Arabidopsis thaliana: one gene and its partners. The protein of the gene in region 2 purifies or fractionates together with the protein of the main gene of each other region. This does not show direct contact. Each region holds a gene or a part of one and is shown on either strand. Other genes may lie near its edges.

Evidence for each region.
Region 1: the proteins of AT1G45000 (region 2) and AT1G59359 fractionate together in Arabidopsis thaliana (co-fractionation; one large-scale study listed by BioGRID). This does not show direct contact.
Region 3: the proteins of AT1G45000 (region 2) and PAF1 fractionate together in Arabidopsis thaliana (co-fractionation; one large-scale study listed by BioGRID). This does not show direct contact.

The regions. Positions count from the first base shown.
Region 1 is NC_003070.9:21,841,653-21,845,792, reverse strand, and holds AT1G59359 (Ribosomal protein S5 family protein), read left to right. Parts: upstream 1-1,973; 5' UTR 1,974-2,059; coding exon 2,060-2,752; intron 2,753-3,094; coding exon 3,095-3,256; 3' UTR 3,257-3,603; downstream 3,604-4,140. Other genes in the region: AT1G59406 (GDSL-like Lipase/Acylhydrolase superfamily protein), read left to right, coding at 1-155, 246-376, 464-688, 790-1,045, 1,149-1,342; AT1G59312 (Inositol-pentakisphosphate 2-kinase family protein), read right to left, coding at 3,821-3,952, 4,036-4,140.
Region 2 is NC_003070.9:17,007,388-17,012,454, forward strand, and holds AT1G45000 (AAA-type ATPase family protein), read left to right. Parts: upstream 1-1,663; 5' UTR 1,664-1,832; coding exon 1,833-1,935; intron 1,936-2,207; coding exon 2,208-2,327; intron 2,328-2,422; coding exon 2,423-2,559; intron 2,560-2,648; coding exon 2,649-2,810; intron 2,811-2,969; coding exon 2,970-3,056; intron 3,057-3,147; coding exon 3,148-3,234; intron 3,235-3,328; coding exon 3,329-3,466; intron 3,467-3,673; coding exon 3,674-3,865; intron 3,866-3,962; coding exon 3,963-4,061; intron 4,062-4,145; coding exon 4,146-4,220; 3' UTR 4,221-4,542; downstream 4,543-5,067. Other genes in the region: AT1G44990 (uncharacterized protein), read right to left, coding at 155-329, 372-421. UniProt on the Arabidopsis thaliana protein: The 26S proteasome is involved in the ATP-dependent degradation of ubiquitinated proteins. The regulatory (or ATPase) complex confers ATP dependency and substrate specificity to the 26S complex.
Region 3 is NC_003076.8:17,158,507-17,162,894, reverse strand, and holds PAF1 (proteasome alpha subunit F1), read left to right. Parts: upstream 1-1,738; 5' UTR 1,739-1,919; coding exon 1,920-2,270; intron 2,271-3,139; coding exon 3,140-3,625; 3' UTR 3,626-3,851; downstream 3,852-4,388.

The DNA.
Region 1 (4,140 bases), 4.8 Mb from region 2:
ACTAATAGTTTTTGGAGATTCAATAATGGATACAGGAAATAACAATAATCTTCCCACTCTTCTAAAGTGTAACTTTCCTCCATATGGAAAAGATTATCCTGGAGGCTTCGCTACTGGAAGATTTTCTGATGGAAGAGTTCCTTCTGATCTTATTGGTAACCAATTGAATTGTTATTACATTTTTCTAAATTATGAATCATATATATTTATCTATATTCTGATAAATATGTTTAAAAATATTTCAGCGGAAAAGTTGGGATTGGCTAAGACATTACCAGCATATATGAATCCGTATTTGAAGCCAGAGGATCTTCTTAAAGGTGTAACATTTGCATCTGGAGGAACTGGTTATGATCCATTGACAGCAAAAATTATGGTACAATATATCTTATTTTTTTCTATCACGATCCTTAGTTTTTTTATGGGTAATTCTTTTTTCTTACATTTATGTTTATTTTTATAGTCAGTAATATCGGTGTGGGATCAACTCATAAATTTCAAAGAATATATATCAAAGATCAAGAGGCATTTCGGAGAAGAAAAAGCCAAAGATATCTTGGAACATAGTTTCTTTCTTGTGGTGTCTAGTAGCAATGACCTTGCTCACACTTATTTAGCTCAAACTCATCGATATGATCGTACCTCTTATGCCAATTTCTTGGCTGACTCTGCTGTCCATTTCGTGAGAGTAAGTACTTTATTGTAAATATATAGAATAATACAGAAACTAATCAATAATATATTGTTTTATCCACTAAATACTTTATCTTATCGATAATTGATAATTAGGAATTACATAAGCTTGGAGCTCGGAAAATAGGAGTGTTTAGTGCAGTCCCCGTCGGTTGTGTTCCACTCCAAAGAACAGTTTTTGGAGGTTTTTTTACAAGAGGATGTAATCAACCTCTAAACAACATGGCAAAACAATTTAACGCAAGACTTTCTCCAGCTTTAGATTCTTTAGATAAAGAGCTAGATGGTGTTATCCTTTACATTAATGTTTATGATACTCTTTTCGACATGATCCAACACCCTAAAAAATACGGTAAGTTCATCTAACATATTTATCTACATAGAAATTATTTATATTTTAATTTTATTATATATTTTAAACTATATTTTATTCAAATGATCTCGTTTTGTTTCAGGTTTTGAGGTAGCTGATAGAGGATGTTGCGGTAAAGGATTGCTTGCGATATCCTATTTGTGTAACTCATTGAACCCATTTACGTGTTCTAATTCTTCAGCATACATATTTTGGGATAGCTATCATCCATCTGAAAGAGCTTATCAAGTTATCGTCGACAATTTACTCGACAAATATTTGAGCAAAGTCTATTGATGTTGAACATCTGAATATTGTTTTTTTGTTCTTTTTATTCTCATTCTCTTATGTATACATTCATTACTCAATTTTTTAATGTACTATACTATATCTTTACTCATCAAATTATTAACTTTGAGACTCACTAATCAAAAAATTCTCACTACTCTTTTAAACACAAACACGTTAGATGTTAAAATTGGTTGTATTCGCCCTCATAACCAATTGGAAAGTGGCCTAAATAAGAGAATGATGCGACACTAAAAAGCCGAAGAAAATTCTAGCCATTTGAGAGATGATACAATGAGATTCAGCTTTAAAATGTATGACCTATTTATTACTGACAACAAACGAATTACATTTGTTTACGATCTTTGAGTTCACAATGGTTTGCATAAATGTCTAACAAATGTCTTGAGAATTTGTTTCACAAGACAAGCAAACCAATTGCACTCAATTTGCATAAAGTCTCTAAATAGTAAAACAATACGCACATAGTTCTTAAGATCACAAGATAAGCAAAGCAATTCCACTCAATTTGCATATCACGTACTATATTGGGTGTTATTGAATAAGTTATGTTATTGGGCCGGGCTTCTTGGTTTGTATCTCAACAAAACAATTATATCAACATTCGGCCCACAAGCCCATAATTCAGACTTTCGAAAACCCTAATCTTATGCTCACCTATATAAACTAAAACTTGTGAATCCGCTAGGGTTTACTTCATCGAAAATGGCGGAAAGAGGAGGAGAAAGCGGCGCAGAGCGTGGCGGTGACCGTGGTGACTTCGGGCGTGGATTCGGCGGTGGACGTGGAGGTGGCCGTGGCCGTGATCGTGGTCCAAGAGGCCGTGGAAGACGTGGAGGCCGTGCCTCGGAAGAAACGAAATGGGTTCCAGTGACCAAACTAGGTCGTCTAGTGGCTGACAATAAAATAACGAAGCTAGAGCAGATCTATCTTCATTCTCTCCCAGTAAAGGAGTACCAAATCATAGATCATCTTGTTGGTCCTACGTTGAAAGACGAGGTTATGAAGATCATGCCTGTTCAGAAACAAACCAGAGCTGGTCAAAGGACTAGATTCAAGGCCTTTGTTGTTGTTGGTGATGGAAATGGTCATGTTGGTTTGGGTGTCAAGTGTTCTAAGGAAGTTGCTACTGCCATTAGAGGAGCTATTATTCTTGCTAAGCTATCAGTGGTTCCGGTGAGGAGAGGTTATTGGGGGAATAAGATTGGGAAGCCACACACTGTGCCTTGTAAGGTTACTGGTAAATGTGGTTCTGTTACTGTGAGAATGGTTCCTGCTCCGAGAGGTTCTGGTATTGTTGCTGCTAGGGTTCCTAAGAAGGTTCTTCAGTTCGCTGGTATTGATGATGTCTTTACTTCTTCAAGAGGATCTACCAAAACCCTTGGAAACTTTGTCAAGGTTTGATTTTGATCCTTCTTTTTTGAAGCATTTGATAATGTTTAGCTGTAGAGTTCTTTGATTTAGCTCTGCTTTTAATGATTTGATTATCCCTTAATAGGGATTTAGTTCACATTTGCTTAGTAGTTGGTGATAAATGAAGCGTCTAAATGTAGCTGATTGCAATTTGTAGATGATCATAGATTTTGTTGATGATTTTCATCTCAAGTACTTAATTTGATGGATGTAGATGCTTCATAATTTGTGATAGATTGATATTCTTGATTTCTTTTTTGAACTCTTGGCATGATGTTGCTTGATTATCTTAACCATAGTGTTGATGTTGTTGGTGTTATGATACAGGCTACATTCGATTGCTTACAGAAGACATATGGGTTCCTTACACCAGAGTTCTGGAAAGAGACTAGATTCTCCAGATCGCCGTACCAAGAGCACACTGATTTCCTGTCGACTAAGGCTGTTTCTGCAACCAAGGTTATCACTGAGGGTGAAGACCAAGCTTAAGACCTTCATGAGATGAGTTTGGTTTATAGGTTTTGGTTATCGCAAATATTTATCTTTCCGGTCTTGTTTCTTGGTTGTCTTTTATCAGTTTTTGATATTGGAGTTTCAGTTACAAGGATAATCATAATTTAGTTATGTTTGGCTTTTGTTAGATATTTGCTTCCATGAAATGACATTTTGCAATAATGCATGTCTATTTCTAAGTTCTTGCAATTAATCAGTCTAACATGTATAAATTGTTCAAGGAACAATATCAATTATGAATGATCTAGTATAATAAGTGTTGATATCGACATTTCATCAGCAGTAAAAACAGAAGAACGAATTAATAAAGTCAAACAAATTCAGTAGAATGATATTTTTTCTCAACTTATTTTATAATAACCATTTTAAAAACAAACATAGTACATACATGTATTCCCCTTTCCTTGGATTTGTTAACATGATGCTTTAATGCTTAGATTGAGTCTTATGAATTGATACAAGTGAAAACAGTAGGAAATTGTTACGAAACATAAAATACTCTTATGAGATATGAAATCTGATTCTTATAGCTTTGTAGTTCTAGAAGCGCCGAGGTTGATCTCCTTTCTTCTTCTTGAGCATCTCCTGGTATGTTTTTGTGATCTTCTTGTCTGATTCGTGATAGGCTTCCATTCTCTTTAAAGGTCTCATATCAAGATCAATGAAGTGTATCTGCCGACGATGTAGACCTCAGTTTAATTATGAGAAAAAACAATTTAACAAAGGCAAAGATTCTTGTGAAAAAAAACATGTACCTTATACTCAAATTCTTGCTTTGTTGATTCAAGTTGAATGTTACCGTGGGAAGAGGATCTTGAGAGCCCAGTCTCTATTGGTCTAAAACTTATCATTACACTACA
Region 2 (5,067 bases):
CCGTAGGTGTTTTTTGGAGTAAAAAAACATTAAGTGAAATTTGTAAAACTAACCAACAAATAAATTATAATTAAGAAACAAAAGAGGTATGATATTCTGTGTATAAACTACAATATAAACTAAAATACCCTTATTTTTTCTTGTTTTTTAGTCATTACTCTAGTACACTATAATTACCATCACCACCATGCGCTGCAACCATCACCATCATCGCAATTCGCAACCACCATCGCCATGTCGTCACCAGCACTACCACTGCAACTGTCGCCACCATACCAACAACCATAGCGCTGTCACTACTACAACCATCACCATCATCACCACCGAAACTGCTACACCACCGCAACCACCTTAATCACGATCATTATTACCATATTGCTACTACCCCGACCACCGTAACCATCACCACCGCAATCACCATCACCACTATCAAAACAACCAGCACGTCGTTACCACTACCACCACCATCGTCAGTCCGTCACCACCACTATCACCAATTTTTGAATAGTTAATAACTTTTTCTTTTTTTTTTATCTAGAACACTTTGTCCTATACTATTTATTCTATTCTATATACCGTTTTTCATTTGAAAATATACATCATTTTCAATTTTTGAGTTTATACAAGTTTTACACATATAATTATGGTTTGGGTATAAGTTTTTTTGGTTTAGCATTTAGTATATTAAATTAAAATTGATTTATGAATGAGTTATGAAAAATAGTACAATATATTCTTGTTCTATTCCTATACATCCTAAATAGTACAACATATTTTTACTTACACATACTATTCACCATTTCACAAATTTACATCTAATTTTAAAATTTTAAACTATGCAATATGTAGAAAAATATGGTTTTTGTGCAAAAAATCCTACAATACAATTTTTTTTTAACCCTTCAATTAAAAAAAAATGCAGGTCAATACTACCAACTTGAAAAGTGAGCCGCAATATAAACTACGTCGTTTTGGATATTTTAAAATAAAAAGGAATGTTTCAAGAGTGTTTTGAACTCAGGACCTCTAGAAGATATAAAACCTTACCTAACCAATTGTGCCACATAAAATTTATAAACTCTTAACAATAAATAAATATATATATATATATATATATATAGACAGCCTTTATGTTCAACCTGACCAATGCAACCAACGATCTCATCAGAATCACGCCCCTACATATCGCATGATTCAATTTTGTAGGCTCTACAACCTTCCATTGAGATGGCAAACCGCCATTGGTTGTTTAAAATCTTATGTAGACGCTCTAGAAGAAAATAGTCTCGACTTTTTTTTTTTTTTAAAAGAGCAGTTATGTATTTGAGAATGTGCCGGAGAAAAAAAACAATACTATTATATATCAGAATTGAATAATACATATGATAAATCATATATATAATGGATAAGGCTAATGTGAGTGTATAAGTCTCCAATGCTTCAAGCTGATTGTACCACCAAATCTTTTTCAAAAAACTAAAAATTAAAAATTAAAAATAATTAAAATTTTCAAAAAATCAGAATTTAGGCAGAACAAATTGCAATAAAGTTTTTATTTCTTGTTTCTACAAATTAAAATATTTCTGGACGTATTTTTTAATCTTAAGAAGATAGGTTTCTTTAATTAATTTTTTATTCTTTATTTTAATTTTTGGAATTGAACAGAAGCTGATGAAGTGAATGATAACGGATCCACCCAGCCGGACCCAAATAGCCCCAAAAGCCCTTAATTCATAGCTAACTTAACCCATTCCTCAAGAAAACAAAATTACTTTAAAACAGAAAAAAAGTTGATAAATTGCTTCAGTGTCAAATTCTGAGATCTGTAAAAGATGAGCGACGGAGACGACGCTGCTAGACGCCGTACCGCGGCGGTGACTGATTACCGGAAGAAGCTCCTTCATCACAAGGAGCTCGAATCCCGTGTCCGAACAGGTTCGATTTCAAAATCTTCCTCATTCTCCTCTTTCGTTTTCTGGGTTTAGTTTGTGGGTCAAAATCGAATCTAGGGTTTTTTCCTACTCTTCGTTCCCATTAGAAATCTCGAGACTTTACTTCAATTAGTGACGCGATTTTAGGGGTTTTGGAGTTTCGAATTGAATTGGTTCCACCGTTTGTTTCACTTGATTAGTCAATTTTGAAGTCGATCTCAAGCTTAATTTCACTTGTTATAGTTCTTATAAACTGGGTCTTGTGGTTATATGCAGCTAGGGAGAATTTAAGAGCAGCTAAGAAGGAATTCAACAAAACTGAGGATGATTTGAAGTCTCTTCAAAGCGTTGGCCAGATTATTGGAGAAGTACTACGTCCTCTTGATAACGAGCGATGTAATTTTCTATCTTGCTACCTTATGTTTTTGATTGAATACTACACTTTGTGTTTTCTATCATCTAAAGGTGGAATTTTTTCTTCTTCTTTTTAGTGATTGTTAAGGCAAGTAGTGGCCCTCGTTATGTGGTGGGTTGTCGTAGCAAGGTGGACAAGGAAAAGCTTACTTCTGGAACTCGAGTTGTCCTGGATATGACTACGCTGACAATTATGCGAGCCCTTCCTCGTGAAGTATGCTTGATTTCAGTATTTTTGCTTTTTTTTTTTGTAGCTGCTTAGTGTATTTGTACTGGTTTTAATTCGATGGTATGTGTTGGTAGGTTGATCCTGTTGTTTATAACATGTTGCATGAAGATCCAGGCAACATTAGTTACTCAGCTGTGGGTGGTTTAGGTGATCAGATCAGAGAACTTAGGGAATCTATTGAGCTGCCTCTCATGAATCCTGAACTTTTCCTTAGAGTTGGGATTAAACCTCCTAAGGTACTTGATCTCTCTCCAGTCCTTTCTTTTGTTTTCACAAACTATCTCATGATTCACTTTTTATGTTTCCCTGTGCCGTGGTTACCTGCATGAATGGCTAAAAAGAGTTGAAACGCACTTCAATTTCCATAATGCTAATTTTCATTTCTCTCATTCCAGGGTGTCCTTCTGTATGGACCTCCGGGTACTGGAAAAACTCTACTAGCTAGGGCTATTGCCAGCAATATCGACGCCAACTTCTTGAAGGTTTGATTTTGTTGTTGAAGGTTTGGTTTGGTGTTCTTTTTATTATACCTTGTCTGTGCTAAATAAGCTCTTTTTTTACCTTTATGTTTAGGTTGTATCTAGTGCAATCATAGACAAATACATTGGAGAAAGTGCTAGGTTGATTCGAGAAATGTTTAACTATGCTCGTGAACATCAGGTAGAATACCATCTCTTTCCTCTTGTCTTATACCTTGATATGCTTTATATTGAAGTTCATGAATTGTCTCTTAACACTCCTTCTTGGGGGCTAGCCTTGTATCATTTTCATGGATGAAATCGATGCTATTGGTGGACGCCGTTTTAGTGAAGGAACTAGTGCTGATCGTGAAATTCAAAGAACACTTATGGAGTTACTTAACCAGCTTGATGGGTTTGACCAACTTGGAAAGGTATGACCTATAGTTTTAGAATAGTACTCGTGCATAAAACTGAGTGGTTACGGTGTGAAACTTGCTTGTTGGGGATAACTTAGTTCAAGGTAGTTTTGTTTTATAACTCATGTTTCAAGTGGTTACTTTCATTGTTAAATTTATCTGTTTCCCAAAATTATTTGTACAATGGAATATCTTCTGATACTTGGGAGATAATACTATTAGGTGAAAATGATAATGGCCACCAACAGGCCGGATGTTCTTGATCCAGCACTTCTCCGTCCGGGTAGGTTAGATAGAAAGATCGAGATCCCGTTGCCAAATGAACAATCAAGAATGGAAATCCTCAAGATCCACGCATCTGGCATTGCCAAGCATGGAGAAATAGACTATGAGGCTATCGTGAAACTTGGAGAGGTTTGTTTGTTTTTCTTAAATGTCACTGCGTTGTAGTTTTTGCCTTTGTTATATATTATAGATCCCACTGATTGTTCCATTCAATCAACATCCTTAGGGTTTCAATGGTGCCGATCTGCGTAACATATGCACTGAAGCTGGAATGTTCGCAATCAGAGCAGAGCGTGACTATGTAATACATGAAGACTTCATGAAGGTAGAAACAAAAATAAATACTCCGCATGTTTACATATTTTTTTGTACCCAAACTTTTCTGCTTATCAAATTGTCTGTTGTACAGGCTGTGAGAAAGCTGAGCGAGGCCAAGAAGCTTGAGTCGAGCTCTCACTATAACGCGGATTTTGGGAAAGAGTAAGAAAAGAATAAGCTCAGAGAAGAAGAGAGGGCCTAAAGGGCAGTGAAAAACTCTGTTATTCACTTTGAAAAAACAAGCTGATGATTCTGTTTCAGTTTCTCAATGTTTTGTTTTGAGGTTCTAGTAAACACAAAAATTCTTGTTTTAGTAATGACAACTATTTTCTGTTTGTCCTATATTTTTTTATTTTATTTTCTGATCAAACATGCATCCTGTATATCTAAAATGTCAGAAAACTCAAGTGTCGTAATCACAAATCTTAGCAATGATTTTTCATATAAAAAATGTTACAAAAATCAATTATTAATTTATAATATTAGTGGGACCATATTTTTATATAAGATTTTTTAAAAAAATTATTATCTTATTATTTTATCGATTTTAGTTAATTTTTATATTTGTCCGATCTGGAACTAGCAAAATTTATTAATTTTTCTTGTTTATTAATTTATAAAATTTATACTGTATTCCTATCAATAACGATGAGTGCTACAAATGTGTGAAATGCGATTCAGATCTTCACAAAGTATTTGCTAGCCTTCCTTGCAAAAAATATTTACTGCACAACTATAAACTCATTCTACAACTTCTGTGAGCTAATCATATCCTATTACGAATGATCAATATAACTTTTACGACTAAGTAATCATTTCTATAGCTTTTTATGGTGAACGATTTTGTCGACGACTTTATAACTGTCAGTTCTATATGTACCACAAAGATTAACAATAGATGGTTCTACATGCTGATGGTAGACAATTTTACTCTTTTGAAAAATGAACCATAATGAACGTTAATTTTTGTCTTAATCTATTGACAAACGTAAAAGCATCCTCAACGGTGAGGC
Region 3 (4,388 bases), on a different chromosome or scaffold from region 2:
ATATAAAAACGTTATAAATCATAGTATATGCTAACTTTAACTAATCTATATAATAAATAAATTAAAATTTTGAAAACAAATCATCAAATATCAAATAAAGAATAATTCTTGGGTTCACTTCTAGGGGGTGAACCTAATTTATTCACCCCCTCTTTAATAACAAATCAATATTTGCCATGTTATTTGATTAAAAAAACTTAAAACAATTAATATTATCAAAATAAAATAATTAAAATAAATCATTAAAACCCCACTTTTTTGTAAATCCAAACCGATATATAATCTCGTTTAATTACCAAATCTAAGCCCTAATTCTCCTTTATAAACCCAAACCGCCATTTAGACTTATTTAATCGTTAAAAAACAAACCATAATCGTATTTTCTAAACCCAAACCGACATTTAACCTAGTTTAATTGTAAAATCTAAATATGTTTATAAGCCCAAACTAATATTTAACATCGTATAATCATAAAATCTAAACCCTAATCGTATTTTGTAAACCCAAACCGATATTTAACCTCGTTTAATCATAAAATCTAAACTCTCATTTTTTCTAATAAACTCAAACCGATACATAATTTTCTTTTAGTGGCAAATTAGATTTAATAGTTAAATTAATTTTTTATTATTATTACTAGTTTGTTAGTTGGGTTTAAAAGTTTCATCAAAGGAGATTTCATAATTGAATAAGGTAAGTGACGATTTTAAAATAGCTTGTTTTTAGAAGTTTTTCGTTCTAGGTTTGTTCTTATTGCATGTAGCTAGTTAGCGTCATGAACTAGTAACTGATCTTAGGGAGATAAAACCACAAAAGTGCTGAATTTATTTACTTGATCTAACATACATAGACTAGAAACTACGTTATAACAATACAAAAGCTTAGTTGTAGAGCTTTGTTTGTGGAGGTAAAGGAACTTGATCTCATTGGGTGATTGATTTTGTGGCTACAACAAAAATCTGAGTAGTTAAGTTTTTATCGATGCTACAAAATTCAATCCCCTAGTCATCTGTGATTCCAGTTTAAGGAACTTGAGCTAAACTGAATATGCTTTTGTTAATCTTCTTGTATGAGACAATATGAACTTTCGCGATATTCTTAAAGACTCAACGATTAATTATCATACAGTTGATAATAATAGTCGAAAATAACAATCGTTACCAATCCACTTCTATATTATGTATAAAATGATTAAAACTATATTATAAAACAAATAATAATTCAAATTTAAATAAATATTTAAAAATCAAAATTCTATTAGTGTTGTACAAGCACATGTTATGATCTACTTCATCACTATATTCGTCAAAACTAAAAATGTATGACTTTTCAGCTGTCATAAAAGTTTAGAAATATACAATAAATTAATTTTAAGATATCAATTTTAAAAATGATAAATGTTCTAAAATTTTAAATAGGATCAATCACAGAGACTTTTTTTTTGTAACAATTCAAATTATATGATTACTAATAACAAAATCGCAAAGTTTTATATTTATAAAATTAATTCATTTTTATTTAGTTTCAAATAATATACAAGAATATTCAAGCTAGTGTGCTCTGTTTTGTCTAATGTTTTTTTTTTTACTGAGAACTATTGACCAAACTCTTTTGTACATATTTAAAGATTCTTAAACAATTTCACATTTCATCAAAAAAAAAAAAAAGAATATACAAGGATTATCCTGTATAAAAACATAGGCCTAAAGTCTGTATAAAACATATGCCTAAAGTCTTAGCCCAATAAGCTAGATACCGAGCCAATACAAAGCCCAGAATTTAATAGAAGCCCATTAAATCGAGAGAGAGATCGAGAGCATCCATGGCTTGAAGGAAAAGAAAAGTTTTGTTTCTGAACTTTCGTCTCTATAAACCCTTTCGACGACGAGTGAAGAAGAAAGCGAGACGAAGAAGCAAAGATGTTCAGAAACCAATACGACACAGATGTTACGACATGGAGTCCAACAGGTCGTTTATTCCAAGTGGAATACGCCATGGAAGCAGTGAAGCAAGGATCTGCAGCAATTGGACTCAGATCTCGTTCTCATGTCGTTCTCGCTTGTGTTAACAAAGCTCAATCGGAGCTTTCTTCGCATCAGAGGAAGATCTTTAAAGTCGATGACCATATCGGTGTTGCAATCGCTGGTCTCACAGCCGACGGTCGTGTATTGTCTCGGTATATGAGATCGGAATCGATTAATCACTCTTTTACTTATGAGTCTCCTCTTCCTGTTGGTCGTCTCGTTGTTCATCTTGCTGATAAAGCTCAGGTTAGGCTTTTGTAGTTTGTTGATTGAGATTTGGTGGAATTTGGAATCGATTACGCTTGGTTTTGTGTGATTCGGTGATAAGTGTGTTGTAATTGTTAATTGAAATTTGAGGAATTTGGAATTCGATTACACTGTGAATCACTGAGCTCAAATTTAGCCATTAGCTTCTTGACTTTGTGCTTAGGGTTTGATCTGAGCTGATTAGGATTCTAAATTGCATTAAATAAGAGTTTTCTTAATTTATCATAGCAGAAACTTGAATCTTGTTTAGTGAAATTGTTTGCATGTTTGTTGTTACTGCTGCATAATCTTGTATTTAAAAGTTTAACCATAACTAAGAGCTTAACAATAGGATTCTAAAAGAAAGAGATTTGTGTTTCTTCTGGTGCTTTTGCTTGTTTCTGCAGTTTTTATTTGGAGTTATTGATTTTCAGTACCTCTAAGAAGTGAATTCCGCTCTTTGTTTTGCATCGTTCTCACCACTATGCACTTATCTTACCAGTCAATTACTCCTGCTAGGTGCTTGTTCGACATCTTTTCTGTAATTATGTGCTACTTCTCACTTTGTTTTTCCACCTATCTAATGGTTTCTTAAGTTAGCTGTTTTATCCACATCTGCATAAATACTTTTCAAAGCCATTGGGAAGAGCTCCCATATATTATATGTGTTTATAAAAGGAAGGGTCTTGTATTTCCTCATTGTCAAACTTTATTAGTTGGTTTACTCTTTTGTAGGAGAGATTTTACTTGACAGGTCCAACTTAAGTTACATTATTGTCATATTTCTTGTCTTTACCAAGGGTTTTTTTTGTTATATTTCTTGATCTGGAAAAGGAAATATTTATGTGTATGTTTGCCTTTATGAACAGGTCTGTACCCAACGATCATGGAAACGACCCTATGGTGTTGGTTTGCTGGTAGGTGGATTGGATGAGTCTGGAGCCCACCTTTACTACAACTGTCCCAGCGGAAACTACTTCGAGTACCAAGCTTTTGCTATTGGATCCCGTTCCCAAGCAGCAAAGACCTATCTGGAACGCAGGTTTGAGAGCTTTGGGGATTCTTCTAGAGAAGATCTGATCAAAGATGCTATTTTGGCTGTTAGGGAGACATTGCAAGGGGAAACACTGAAGAGTTCTCTCTGCACAGTCGCTATTCTAGGAGTCGATGAACCGTTCCACTTCCTGGACCAGGAAGCAATACAGAAAGTGATCGACACATTTGAGAAAGTGCCAGAGGAAGAGGAAGGAGAAGGCGAGGCTGGTGAGGGTGAGGCCGAAGCTGCCGAGGCTGCACCAGCAGAACGAGGTGGTGGTGTTGCAGGTGACCAAGACGTGGCTCCAATGGAAATGTAAGGCTTGTGTGTGTAACGCTGGAACTATTTTATTTCGATGTTAGTTGGATTTTTACTTTGCAAAATGGCTGCGGGTTTAGATTATATGCTTGAGAAGTTGAAACCATTTCGTCATTTAAACTCAATAGCTGCCATCAAGACTTTCTCGTATTCTGGTCTTTTGGTTTAAATCTGAAATCTGTTCACGACTTCCTATCTCTTTGGTTCTGCAATTCCTTGCTAAAAAAGTGTGTAGTGTCATCTAACTAGGGCTGTCAAGCAGGCCAAGCCAGCCTTGTTAGGCCTGCCCTGCAGAGGGTTTTAACAAAAAAATTGACCAGCCTCAAGTTTCCTTCGAAGGTTAATCTAAAATTTGTTAACCCAAAGAACTCCAGAATTTAATGTTAAATCGTAAATTATGATAAAATCATTAGCTCGACGTCATTTAGTCTAATAGAAAACATAAGTGGCCCCCTACATGGTGACGACTACGAAAGACTTTGGATAATGGGAACCATGTAAACCAGACCCATTGACTTTGCCGTCTCTCTTAATCATTTGCTTTATCCAGCATCCGTTCTCGTATATACACCAAATTAACCATCAAAGGAAAAAAAAATGATCAAGAGTTTATCATTGCATCTAAGAGCTAGTGGATCATATAAAATTGAATTAACAACGAACAGTCATGTTTTCGGTGTCAAAAGACATTGTGAATTAAACATACGAAACTACGTCAAATCGTTTAAGGCAATTGGAAAACACAAGATCTTTTACGGGTTCAG